3 linked regions of the Astyanax mexicanus genome follow. The protein of the gene in region 3 interacts with the protein of the main gene of each other region in a pairwise test. Links are inferred from orthologs where the notes say so. Each region holds a gene or a part of one and is shown on either strand. Other genes may lie near its edges.

What was found. The genes of interacting proteins can lie anywhere in the genome.
Region 1: the proteins of keap1b (region 3) and prkag1 interact in binary tests that used the Homo sapiens proteins (3 or more experiments, as listed by UniProt). The two-hybrid records come from large-scale screens. The link is inferred for Astyanax mexicanus from reciprocal best matches to the Homo sapiens genes KEAP1 and PRKAG1.
Region 2: the proteins of keap1b (region 3) and dpp3 interact in binary tests that used the Homo sapiens proteins (3 or more experiments, as listed by UniProt). The two-hybrid records come from large-scale screens. The link is inferred for Astyanax mexicanus from reciprocal best matches to the Homo sapiens genes KEAP1 and DPP3.

The regions. Positions count from the first base shown.
Region 1 is NC_064412.1:12,725,088-12,728,843, reverse strand, and holds the start of prkag1 (5'-AMP-activated protein kinase subunit gamma-1), read right to left. Parts: upstream 2,558-3,756; 5' UTR 2,410-2,557; coding exon 2,401-2,409; intron 1-2,400. UniProt on the Homo sapiens protein: AMP/ATP-binding subunit of AMP-activated protein kinase (AMPK), an energy sensor protein kinase that plays a key role in regulating cellular energy metabolism.
Region 2 is NC_064424.1:16,347,395-16,351,150, forward strand, and holds the start of dpp3 (dipeptidyl peptidase 3), read left to right. Parts: upstream 1-1,473; 5' UTR 1,474-1,557; intron 1,558-3,047; 5' UTR 3,048-3,089; coding exon 3,090-3,359; intron 3,360-3,460; coding exon 3,461-3,550; intron 3,551-3,640; coding exon 3,641-3,756. UniProt on the Homo sapiens protein: Cleaves and degrades bioactive peptides, including angiotensin, Leu-enkephalin and Met-enkephalin. Also cleaves Arg-Arg-beta-naphthylamide (in vitro).
Region 3 is NC_064412.1:31,853,026-31,856,781, forward strand, and holds the start of keap1b (kelch-like ECH-associated protein 1B), read left to right. Parts: upstream 1-1,471; 5' UTR 1,472-1,605; intron 1,606-1,613; exon of another isoform or gene 1,614-1,829; intron 1,830-2,101; exon of another isoform or gene 2,102-2,583; intron 2,584-3,091; exon of another isoform or gene 3,092-3,194; intron 3,195-3,469; 5' UTR 3,470-3,756. UniProt on the Homo sapiens protein: Substrate-specific adapter of a BCR (BTB-CUL3-RBX1) E3 ubiquitin ligase complex that regulates the response to oxidative stress by targeting NFE2L2/NRF2 for ubiquitination.

The sequences.
Region 1 (3,756 bases), about 19 Mb from region 3:
CAAGTATTCTTGAATAGAAGCAGTCATTTAAAATGCTCTGGGATTGACTGATTTTGAATACATGTGCTAAAGTTACTCCCGACGTCACAATATTCTGACAAACTAACACTGTAAATTACATTTTAAGATGTGTCTAGATAAAATAAATTGGAAATTCAAGCTAAAACCTGGCATACTTCTTTTCCTTTTTAACTCTACATTATCTACAACAACAGGCAGAAACTAGTGCATTATTTACAGTAATTCTGTTTATCTGGTATATTTATTTCTTTACAGAGAGAAATGCAGTAGTATGCAGTTTAATTACATAAAATATGATCACAAGAAAAGACTACCGGGACAAAACTGGGCTTTGTTTCCTAGCTACAGCCATTCAATAGAAAACACACATCCTAGTTATTAAGCCAAGTGTTAAGGTCCTACAACAATTTTAGTAAAGAGACTGAGCTGAGCACAAAAAAGGCAGATATACTAAGATCTCGTACCATGACATATTTCAGATTTTACAACATGTACGAAACAGTACCAGTCAAAAATTTGAACACACATTCTCATTAACATTTGTTCTTTGTATTATATACGACAATGTAGATTATTATTAAATACCTAAAAACTAGGAAGGAAAACATATGCAACTGGGTAGAAGACACAAACACCTGGCATAAAAACCCAACCCATGTGGTTTGGGATGAGCTGGAGCACAACCTAAAAGAAAAGCCGTAACTATTGTTCAACACCTCCAGAAACTCTTTCAAAACGCTGAGAAAACTATTCCAGGTGACGCTACCTCATGAAGACACTGAGGTTAAAATACCAAGAGTGTGCAGATCTGCCCTTAAAGATAAATGTGCTACTTTAAAAAATGGAAACATAAAAAGAAAGAAAACACACTAAATAAGAAGAAGAGTCTCCAAACATTTGACTGGTACTGTATCAGGACAAACCTGTGGTGGGTTACCCAGCTAGCTGTTACAGTCAATAGCAAACACACACACTAGTGCAAATATAAAGGTATAAAAGCTAAACACACACACACTATATATACGTATATATATATATATATATACGTATATATATATATACGTATATATATATATACGTATATATATATATATATATATATATATATATATATATATATGTATATATATATACGTATATATATATACGTATATATATATATATATATATATATATATATATATATATATATATATATATATATATATATATATATGTGTGTGTGTGTTTTAGCTTTTATACCTTTATATTTGCACCAGTGTTAATACAGGCATTGTCATTCCTTCTTTAATCCCCCCCCATCACTATTGTGTCTCTTGCCTCACGTATGTCTATATCTGTGACCTTGTTGTATTGTACATATAGTGTCTCTCATTATTTTATATTTATAATTTTATGTGGTACTTGCTGTAACTTTTGGAAAGGAGATTAAAATAATTTCAATTAGCTGTCCTGTAAGTTACACCTGCAGTTATGACAAAAAAAATACTTGACGGGACTTGACTATTTAAAATTATATTAACACTGAGAAGACTGAGCTAAATCACTAAAACAAATGTACAGATATACTGAGATCTTGCACCATAATATTGTTATTCAGATTTTACATGTTGGCAACATATCTGATAAAGAATTAACGCTAGCTGTCATTACACTCAAAATAATAACTAACTTAAACAGCAGCAGTGGTGAAAGTATTTGAATGTTTTGATATTAAACATACGTTTTGATTTATAACTAACAAACATTAACTAGTAACGTACGTGTTAGTTAACTGTCAGGTCCTAGACAACGTTACCATCATTTCATGTAATTAGATAGGTTAGCTTAGTTAGCCTGTTGGGTTAGCTAGCTAGCAAACTACTTACTCCAACAGAGGCTAGGTTAACTCTTTTAATAGATAGCCGGCATTAAATAGAATTAGTTAACCTAGATAAAGGATAAATAGAGAGAGGAACCCACAGACGTTGTCTGCAATTTAACTAACCTTACCAGATAAGGAGTTGTTATTCGCCGCTGTTTGGCACTATCCGGCGCTAGATTCTCGCTAGCACCGCTCAGGATGTTAAAACTGCAAGACTGCGGATCTAAACTCAGTTTTAAAAGTTTCTACCGAAGCCAAAAAGATGGTTGGCAACTTATCTTTTCATTTTCATGTTATTTATACTTTTAAAAGCCCGTTTGGTCTTTTGAGCTACAGAAGCAGACCAGGCGATACACAACTAACCCTACTCACTCAGCTAAGATAAGCTAACTAGCTAACGCTAGCTAAATAACGTTAAGCCAGAGCGCGGTACCGGAGGCGCTAACGGTCTGAAGAGCCCGCCGGCTCGTTTCTCCTACTTCTGAGTTTAACTGTTTTTAGCTGAAGATACTCACACACTCCATGGTCCATACAGCTCCACACTCTCCTCCGCGGTTCCTCTGCTTCGGTTCCCCTACTCACTCCTCACACACTCCGTTCACACACTCCCCACCCGCCTCCAGTCTCAGTACAGCCAGCCGAGCCGCTCGAAGGAAGTGACGCTATGTTGTAAAACCAGGGGCCTCTTCCAAATCCACACATTTCTAAACAGGCACTACATTACCAGTACACTACATTACCAGTACATTACCGGTACACTACATTACCAGTATACTTCATTACCAGCACATTACATTACCAGTACACTACATTACCAGCACATTACATTACCAGTACACTACATTACCAGTACATTACTTTACCGGTACACTACATTACCAGTATACTTCATTACCAGCACATTACATTACCAGTACACTACATTACCAGTACATTAGTTTACCGGTACACTACATTACCAGTACATTACATTACCGGTACACTACATTACCAGTACATTACATTACCAGCACATTACATTACCAGTATATTACCAGAAGTCATCTCAAGGCATCTGCAGACATCACAAGTTGCAAAAAATAATTTATTAATAATTTATAAATTAATTAATTAATCTGGACAGCTCTGGAAAAAAATTGAGACCACATGAAAATAGAATGTATAATATATATATATATATATATATATATATATATATATATATATATATATATATATATACATATACATACACACACACACACATACATATATATATATATATATTTATAATAAAAATAATATTAAAAATATAAATCTATAGGTATATGTTTGAGTAAAATGAACATTGCACTTTTATTCTATAAACTTTTGATGGCATTTCTCCCAAATTACAAATAAAAATATTGTCATTTAGAGGATTTTTTGAGAAATCATGAGAAATTCAATTTATAACCAGTCATTGGTTGGGGGCCAGCTAAGGTTGCCAAGCAACTGATTGGTTTGCTTGCTTTGTTGCAAAGGGCCTGAGTCTAATAGCATGTATGGTGTATGTAGTATGTATAGCTTGGAGAATGTAACTTTAAATTCAAGCATATTGTTTTTTTTGTTCCTAGAATACAAAAAAATATATATTTTTGTATTAGCCAACTCTTATAGCTTGTTTCATTTTTTTTGTCTGGTGTGTTGTAATGAAAACTAGTAGTACTAGTTAATATAGAACATTTAGAATTCTCCAACAAAATATACTGCATTATACAATATAATTGTGGGCCATTTAGCACATCCAATACTGTAAAAATGTAAAATTTTTGTACTTGGGTATGTAATCCACAGAAATTACAAAACAAGCTGTCCTCATCACAAAAGCCATTAAAACCATGAATTGTCCA
Region 2 (3,756 bases), on a different chromosome or scaffold from region 3:
TATCTGTGTGTCTCCCTTGTATGATACTTTTGATGATTGTATTTGACAGTGCAGTGCAGTGCAGTTCATGGCTCATTGCTTACATAAAACTGATACAAGTCATGCATATTTACAGCCAGAGATTGGAAGTGTAGAAAGTATTGTACTGCATCTGTGGTCAGAGGTTCAGATGTATAGATACACTGCAAAGATACATGAATGTCTTTCTAAAGTGTCGCTATTTCTTCATTATTCCATCCATGGCAGCACATATTAATTTTAAGGGAAACCCTTACATTAAAATAATGGCATGTTGAAAAACTGGCAAAGAGTACTTTTGAAGACTATAAATATTTAGGCATGCAGATCTCTGATCAATCGCATGCTTTAAAATGGTGGTTTTGTCTGTTCACACCCTGATTATCAAATAACATTGAATACATGTTATTTTGTTTATTGTATTACATATATTATGGCTGATAATGAAAAAAAAAACCTTTATTTAACATTGCATAGTAGACATTGGTCAATGTTGATTTTCTTAATGTTTACTTAAAGATTTTAAATGGTTGGGCTGAGCTCTTCTACACTTACAATTCTTTTAGGTGAAAGGTCCTTCCCACAAATTTTAGTATTAATACTTATTATTTAAATAGCCCTTTCTACACTACAAGGACACAATACAGGCTATAAGAATAGAATACAAACAAGATATACAGTATCAGTCAAACATTTACACATTACATTTCATTATTAAATTTTATTTTTCTGCATTGTAGATTAATATCAAACTGAGGAAAATATATGAAATTATTTATTAAACAAAAAAGTGTCAAACAAACAAGAGTATGTCTTATATTTTAGATTCTTCAAAGTTGACACCTCAGTTTTGCACGACTTTAAGTTTTCTTAGTCAGTTTTATAAGATAGAGTCACTTAGAATGGCTGGCTTTCAGTTAACAGCTGTGCTGAACTTGTGAAATGTTAATTACTTAAATGTATTGCCCTTGTCCTGGCATCAGTTGTAAATTTGTGTGTGTAGAGTTGGTATACAGTAAATAGCTCTATTTGAGTAATGTTTTATTCCATATTATAGTAAGAACTACTCAACTAAGCAAAGCAAAAAACTAATTAATGAAGTTCAGTCAATTTGAAAATTCTCAAGACAGAAGTTAACAGCACCCCAGATAAGAGCCACCTAATGCTTCACAGAGTATATTGGTTTGTTTAACACTTTTTTAGTTACTGTGTTAACCATTGTGCGTTCCTTCATAGGCTATGTGACTTCAGCATATGTAGGGAAAAAAGAAAAATATACACATTAAATTAAAAGAGGTGTATACACACACACAAACCCAGTGTGTACAGACCCCTGGACATGCTCTGTGGGTGAAGAGCTCTTTCTTGCGCTTCAGCATGAACCCTTCTCGACTCCGCGCTCTGATTGGTTGGAACAGCTGTCAATCTTCTTTTCGCGCGCATGATTGGTTTCGGGGCGGGCTTTGCTTTGAATGGATAGCGGAAGTCGGTGTGGACGGTGAGCTTGCATTTTGACAGCGTTGGACAGAACTGGTTCAGGTAGAAAGTGATTTAAGTGCATTAATTAACGCAGGGAGCGGGTCTGTGTGAATGGAGGAGGTGTAGTCAGACTGGAGCTCGTTTAAATGCCTAATTAATTTAGCTGGAGAACTTAAACAGCACAAGCTATCAAGTTAGCTAGCAAACCTGAGCTAGGCTAGCTAGCTTTGTTAGCTTAAACTGCTCAGTGTTTTCAGTTGAAGTGAAAGTAACATTAGAAGACCAGGTCTGCAACTTGCAGTGTCCATAACATATCAGATAAATTATATTCAGAGAGCTAAAACATCCCCTTTGTTTAAAATATTCAGTTTCATTTAATAGATTTCTCCTTCTGAACTGAGTGAAATATTTATTTATTAAACTGAGGGACATATTTATTTTTTAACATAAGTGAAAGATTTATTTAACAAACGAAGGGAAATTTTTAATTATTAAATTGCGTAAAAGATTTGTTTATTTAACTGAGGGAAATATGTATTAAAGGGCTCTATTAGCGAATTCAATTGAAGGAATGAGTGCTTTATTAATCTGAGGGAAAGATAGTGCTGGAAGATATGGAGCAAAAATAATGTTTTTTTTTTCTGAATGGCGATGTACAATATATGATATAACCTATTATAATGTGTATCATTTTTTTCGTAAGGTAAAACTAAAACATTCATTATTCATGTAGAAGTATAGATACTAGAGTTTAAAAGTAATTATCAAAAGTAAAAGTACTGGGTTCAAAACATGCCATTAAGAATAAATAAAAGCTTAGGCTATAGGGCCTTACCCCCTTACCAAAACACCTTTTTTTTGTCTAAAAAGAAGTAAAAAGTCGTTTGAAAATAATTGAAAATAATTAATCCATCAAAGTATAGATTTCAACATTTCCACTTAAATAAGGTAACATAATATTTGTATTTTGCAGGGCATTTTTATTATTCAGTGCCATATCCTGTGTGTATAGCAGACATAGCAGAATTTTATGTCTAATTCCACAAATTAATTATAAACTACAGATGTTTTTAACAATAGAATTTTCTTTTCCATTTCAAGTAGCCTAGAAACAAGTGCCACATACAAAATTGCTTTGGGGACAAAGTGCATTTAAAGTGTTTAAGAAAAAGTAAATGTAGTCCACATAGTCTATATTGATATAAACAAATTTGTGTCTTATATGAAAATATATAGAAAATTCATAAGATTAAATTGAGGAAATAGTAGGGGCTCATTAATCACTCAATATCTAGTTGGCTGTAAAAGTCTGTTAGTCCTTTTGTGCCAGTAAAAGAAGATATAAAATTTTGCCATTTTTTCCTAGTCATTGAACATCTTCCAGGTCCATTACTCAGCATTATTACTGTATTACTGTATCAGTTCATTTCTTGTTCCTTAACAGCTACATTTTTTTTCAGAATTACAAATTTAATTTGTAATTTCGTCTTGTTCTTCACTCCACAATTAAACTCATTTTAACTTTACTCTTCGTCTCTTTTCTCTTACAGAGCCCTTTGATTGTAGTAGAGGAAACGTGCTTGATAACCATCATGGTGGATTCTCAGTACTACCTCCCCAATGATATTGGGATCTCAGCTCTGGATTGTGCGGAAGCCTTCCGACTGCTGTCTCCCAAGGAGAAGTTGTATGCACATTACCTCTCTCGGGCAGCTTGGTATGGTGGTCTCGTGGTGCTGCTGCAGACCTCCCCGGAGTCTCCCACCATCTATGTGCTCTTGCAGAGAATATTCCGGAAGCAGCCCCCTGCAGAGCTGGAGGCCGTGGCAACTGCAGCAGGGCTGACCTCAGAGGAATACCAGGTTAAAAATCTCTCATGTTTTACTAATCTCATATTTAATAGCAGTACAAAGTTGCCTAAGTGGTAATGGCAACTTTTGTTTTTCTCTGTTTATTTTTACAGGCATTTCTTGTATATGCTGCGGGGCTTTATGCCAACATGGGAAACTACAAGTCATTTGGTGACACCAAGTTCATCCCCAATCTGCCAAAGGTAAATGCTCCAAAGCTTCATATGCATATTCTGCTTTGATTTATGACTTTCTATGACATCAGTTTTAACTGGACCTGAATATACCTGCAGGAAAAGTTCAAGGCACTGGTGTGGGAGAGTCAGGCCTATAAGGAACGCCCTGATGAGATCGAGGTGCTGTGGAACAGCTGCTCCAATCTCCTTTACTCCTTAGAAGACAAGCAGAA
Region 3 (3,756 bases):
GTCAGTTAAGGCACCAAAATCCACGATAATCTAACAACCGCATTTTACGGAAGCCTTCATATAAAGCAAAATTAGATTTTATTGTTCTGTGTGAGCCCATGTTCCTGGTGAAATATGCATATTAGTTTTGCATTATCATGCACGCACACATCAGTCTGCGCGCGCCTAGTAATGCGTTTGTGTTGTGAACTGCACGCAGGGAGCAGGGAGGGTGGGAAGCCTACTTTTAAAATGACGTAATGTATTTGCGAATTTAACAATTACGTAATGCATTTGCACATTAAACATCTTCACACGCTACAGGTTACTGCGTGAGTGATACATAGATCAGTGCAGCAGAAAGCTCGTGCACTGACTGCTAAACACGCTTGCAGTCACTCGATGTGCCAGTATTTCCAGAAGGTCGCGAGGCTGAACTATTATGTTCTTAGTTGCTTTTAATTGTAACTCTGACAGAAGGAAGAAAGGAGCTGATTGTTTGTTCTGTCAGCTTTGTGTTAAGCCACCGTCGAATCCTACATTCAACCCTGGGCTGCAGATGATTGGCATATGATGACAGGAAGGCAGAAAAGCTGCAGGGTGAAAAGACACAGTTCTGTGTAACGAGTGTGTAAGAGGGGGGAGTGTGCGGGGGTGGGGGGGTGGGGGGGTGTTGTTCTTGTGAGGTTTGTTGTGGCAATAGGAAGCTTGCTCTATTCAATTCGGAATCGATTCGAAAGAACCTTTTACATGACTGAACGATTCCTTTTAGTTTAGTATCACAAAGAAGATATTCGCACCTTCAACCACCCACTTTCCCAGTTTTGTGATACATAAGAAAGTAGTTAAATAAGTCACATCTCTATTAATAAAATATGATTTATTATTATTTATTATTCTATTATTGTTTTTTTTGTTTTTTCTAATGTTGCTTCTTTTTATACTTTTGTTTTAAATGTTCTTTTTTTGTTATTTCAGTTCAAAGTTAGTGTTCACATATATTTTAATAATTTTACAGTTTATTTTCTTATTCCGAAATGTATTTATGTAATTTGGATTGCTTGACTGATTCATTTATCTATCTATATATTTTAACTCTTACTAATTAAGCCTTAAATTGTTATTTTTTACTCTTCCAGTCTTGTTTTTTTGTGCTTGCTTTTGTTAAATTAATATATATATATTCTCTTTAATCCTTGTTTACCGTGAATACAATGTACTTTCAATGAAAAATAAGAGTTGGTTGGGTTATATAAATAAAACATGTATATATTTTAAAGATATCACTATGTCATGTATTACGCTATTATTTCATTTATTCAGTACTTTTGGTGTTACTTTTTCTTTTGACACTACTGTAGTCACGGTTATTGCAATGTTTGACCATTTATGTTCTCGATAGCTACAGTATATTGCCTATTTGAATCCGAGTCTGAATCTAGTATTTGCGAATCGACTCATCTGACTCGGTTCATGGAGAACAATTCGTTCCTGAATCGACCGTCGCTAGTCGGTCGCAGTGCTTAGTCATGGTGACTTACTGCTTCGCGCTCTCTCTCTGTCCCCCCCCCTCTCCTCTCATCTGGCCTTTAGTCAGCACTGACAGACTTCATCCTCACAAGACGCGTGAGTAGCAACCTTAAAACCTTTGCACTGCAAAAAACGAGTCGTTGTGTTTCGTTAGAGCTGCACTTTTCTGTGCATTTTCTTTGTTTATCATCGTGTTGCACGCTGAGTCGGTGGGAAGTGATTCATCTGCCCGTGCTTCACCAGAGTGCACTGCTGAGGAGTGTTTTCGAGCTTTGCCAGGATACATAAGTCTGTCTGTCTGGAACAGCACAGACCGCTAGGTAACATAGGTTAGTTTTTAGGTGTAGGGTCGCAGTCTTAGAAATCCCACTGTTTATCTAAAGCATTTGGGGCTGTGATTCATGCAGAGATCTTTAACACTGAAAATCATGGACTCATGGATCATGAAGAAATCCACTACCCATACAGTAGCTCTACTCGTTTAAAAGATGGTGCAGGTTTTATATAAGGAGTGTTTATATAAGGATTAAGCCTAAAAGATTAGATAACAATAAAATAAAAGTAAACAATAAATGCAGTGTTAAATTATTTTTCTTTACAATAATATATGGCTGTAGTGAAAGGTATTAAAGACCCACAATAATCCAGTCGGGGTTCATGGGGTTAATAAAGTGAAACACGATCGCCTACTTTCCTTATCCAGCTGACGGCATGCCTTAACTCTCTGTATTCTCTTTTAAGATGTAAAATTAAGATAAGCTATGTAGGTTAGACTGTTTTACCGAAAATTCCGCTAGCTGTGCCAGTGTTTACCTGATTAAATTAAACAAACCCTTCGCCGGTAATTGTTTTGAATAAGGTGCGCGTTGTTTGGTAAAATAACCTAGCGTTAGGTAACCTAGTTAGCTCCTAAAAGGAGCTGCTGTGGCTAGTTTAATTATTAAAGCGAGAGAAAGTTTTACACGATATACCTGTAATGTTATCCACCCTTTAGAAACGCTTCTTTAAAAGCTCTGCGGACTGAAAAGTTCAAACCTGAACGGACGAGGCTGGAGAACGGCGAAGTTTCCTGAGGTTGGTTGGCTCATTATGACCCACTCTTCAGTAGAATCGCTTCCCGCCTTGGCAGCACTGTCCCCCGCAGGGGCTCGAACTCAAGCCCGGGGATTCGCGGCCTGTGGTTTGGTTTTTGTTTAGTTTTATTTTTTACTCTCCACGCTGATATTTATTGCTTTTTAAAGTGTCGTTACAAACAGGCAAGCGACCATTGATATGTAGAGTCGACATTGGCTAAAACATTTTTTTTTACTTGTGGTGTGTTAAAATTACAACTTAAAATCGACTATTTCGCTCTCTCTGACCAATTGTAACATTTCATCAGTTTACACTAATGCTAACAAAATGTCAACAACAAATGCTTTTGTTGTATTAAGCTGTGTAGTGCAGAGAAAGACACCTGTGGAGTAAAAGTTTGTAGTTGTTTGGACGTCAGCGAGATAATTTGACGTAAAGAAAAATGTAGTCACGATGACGAGGGGGGAGTCGGACCTGATTGAAACCAACCAGTGTGTGTGCGCGTCACTGGTCTTAAATAACAGTGTTGTTCAGCTCACTACCACAACACCACATCCAGCAGCAGACTGGTTGGCTTGTTTGTGACTTGGCATATCCATGGATACTGATAAGTAACTACCGGACCTTTGGACTATTTTTTTTTAGCTCTGAACTCTCAGCATATACTGTTATATGTGTTTCTGTTGCAATATTTTGTGTGTTTTATTTTAGTTTTATCAGCATGATTAAAGTTAGTTTATGCTGTCTGATTGCAGTGTGCTGACTGTGTGTCATTTAAGCAACAGGAATGTACTTGTTGTGTCAGGACAGAATGTCCGTGATTTCACCCTGTTGATCTTTGTCGTAAATCTCTCTCGCTCACTCTCTCACTTCTTTTTTTTTGCAGGTCTTTGAGCGACCGGCAGACGAAAACAGATTCCAGGGCACAGAACTTTTAAGACCTTCAGTCCTGGCGGGATCAGCTGTGTAAAGCTGTGCTGTTTTCCTGGAGAAGATTGTCTGTACAGGCTAAATAACCTCTAGCACCTTTCACACGCCTTCTGACCTGAATGTCTGTAATCTTTCAGGCTGTCGGCTAGACTTCGAGTTTACAAACGGAGGTGAAACGGTGACTTTTAACCTAGAAAACCTTATGCTACAACGAGAGGAAATTATTTTTTTTTCCAAGTCAAG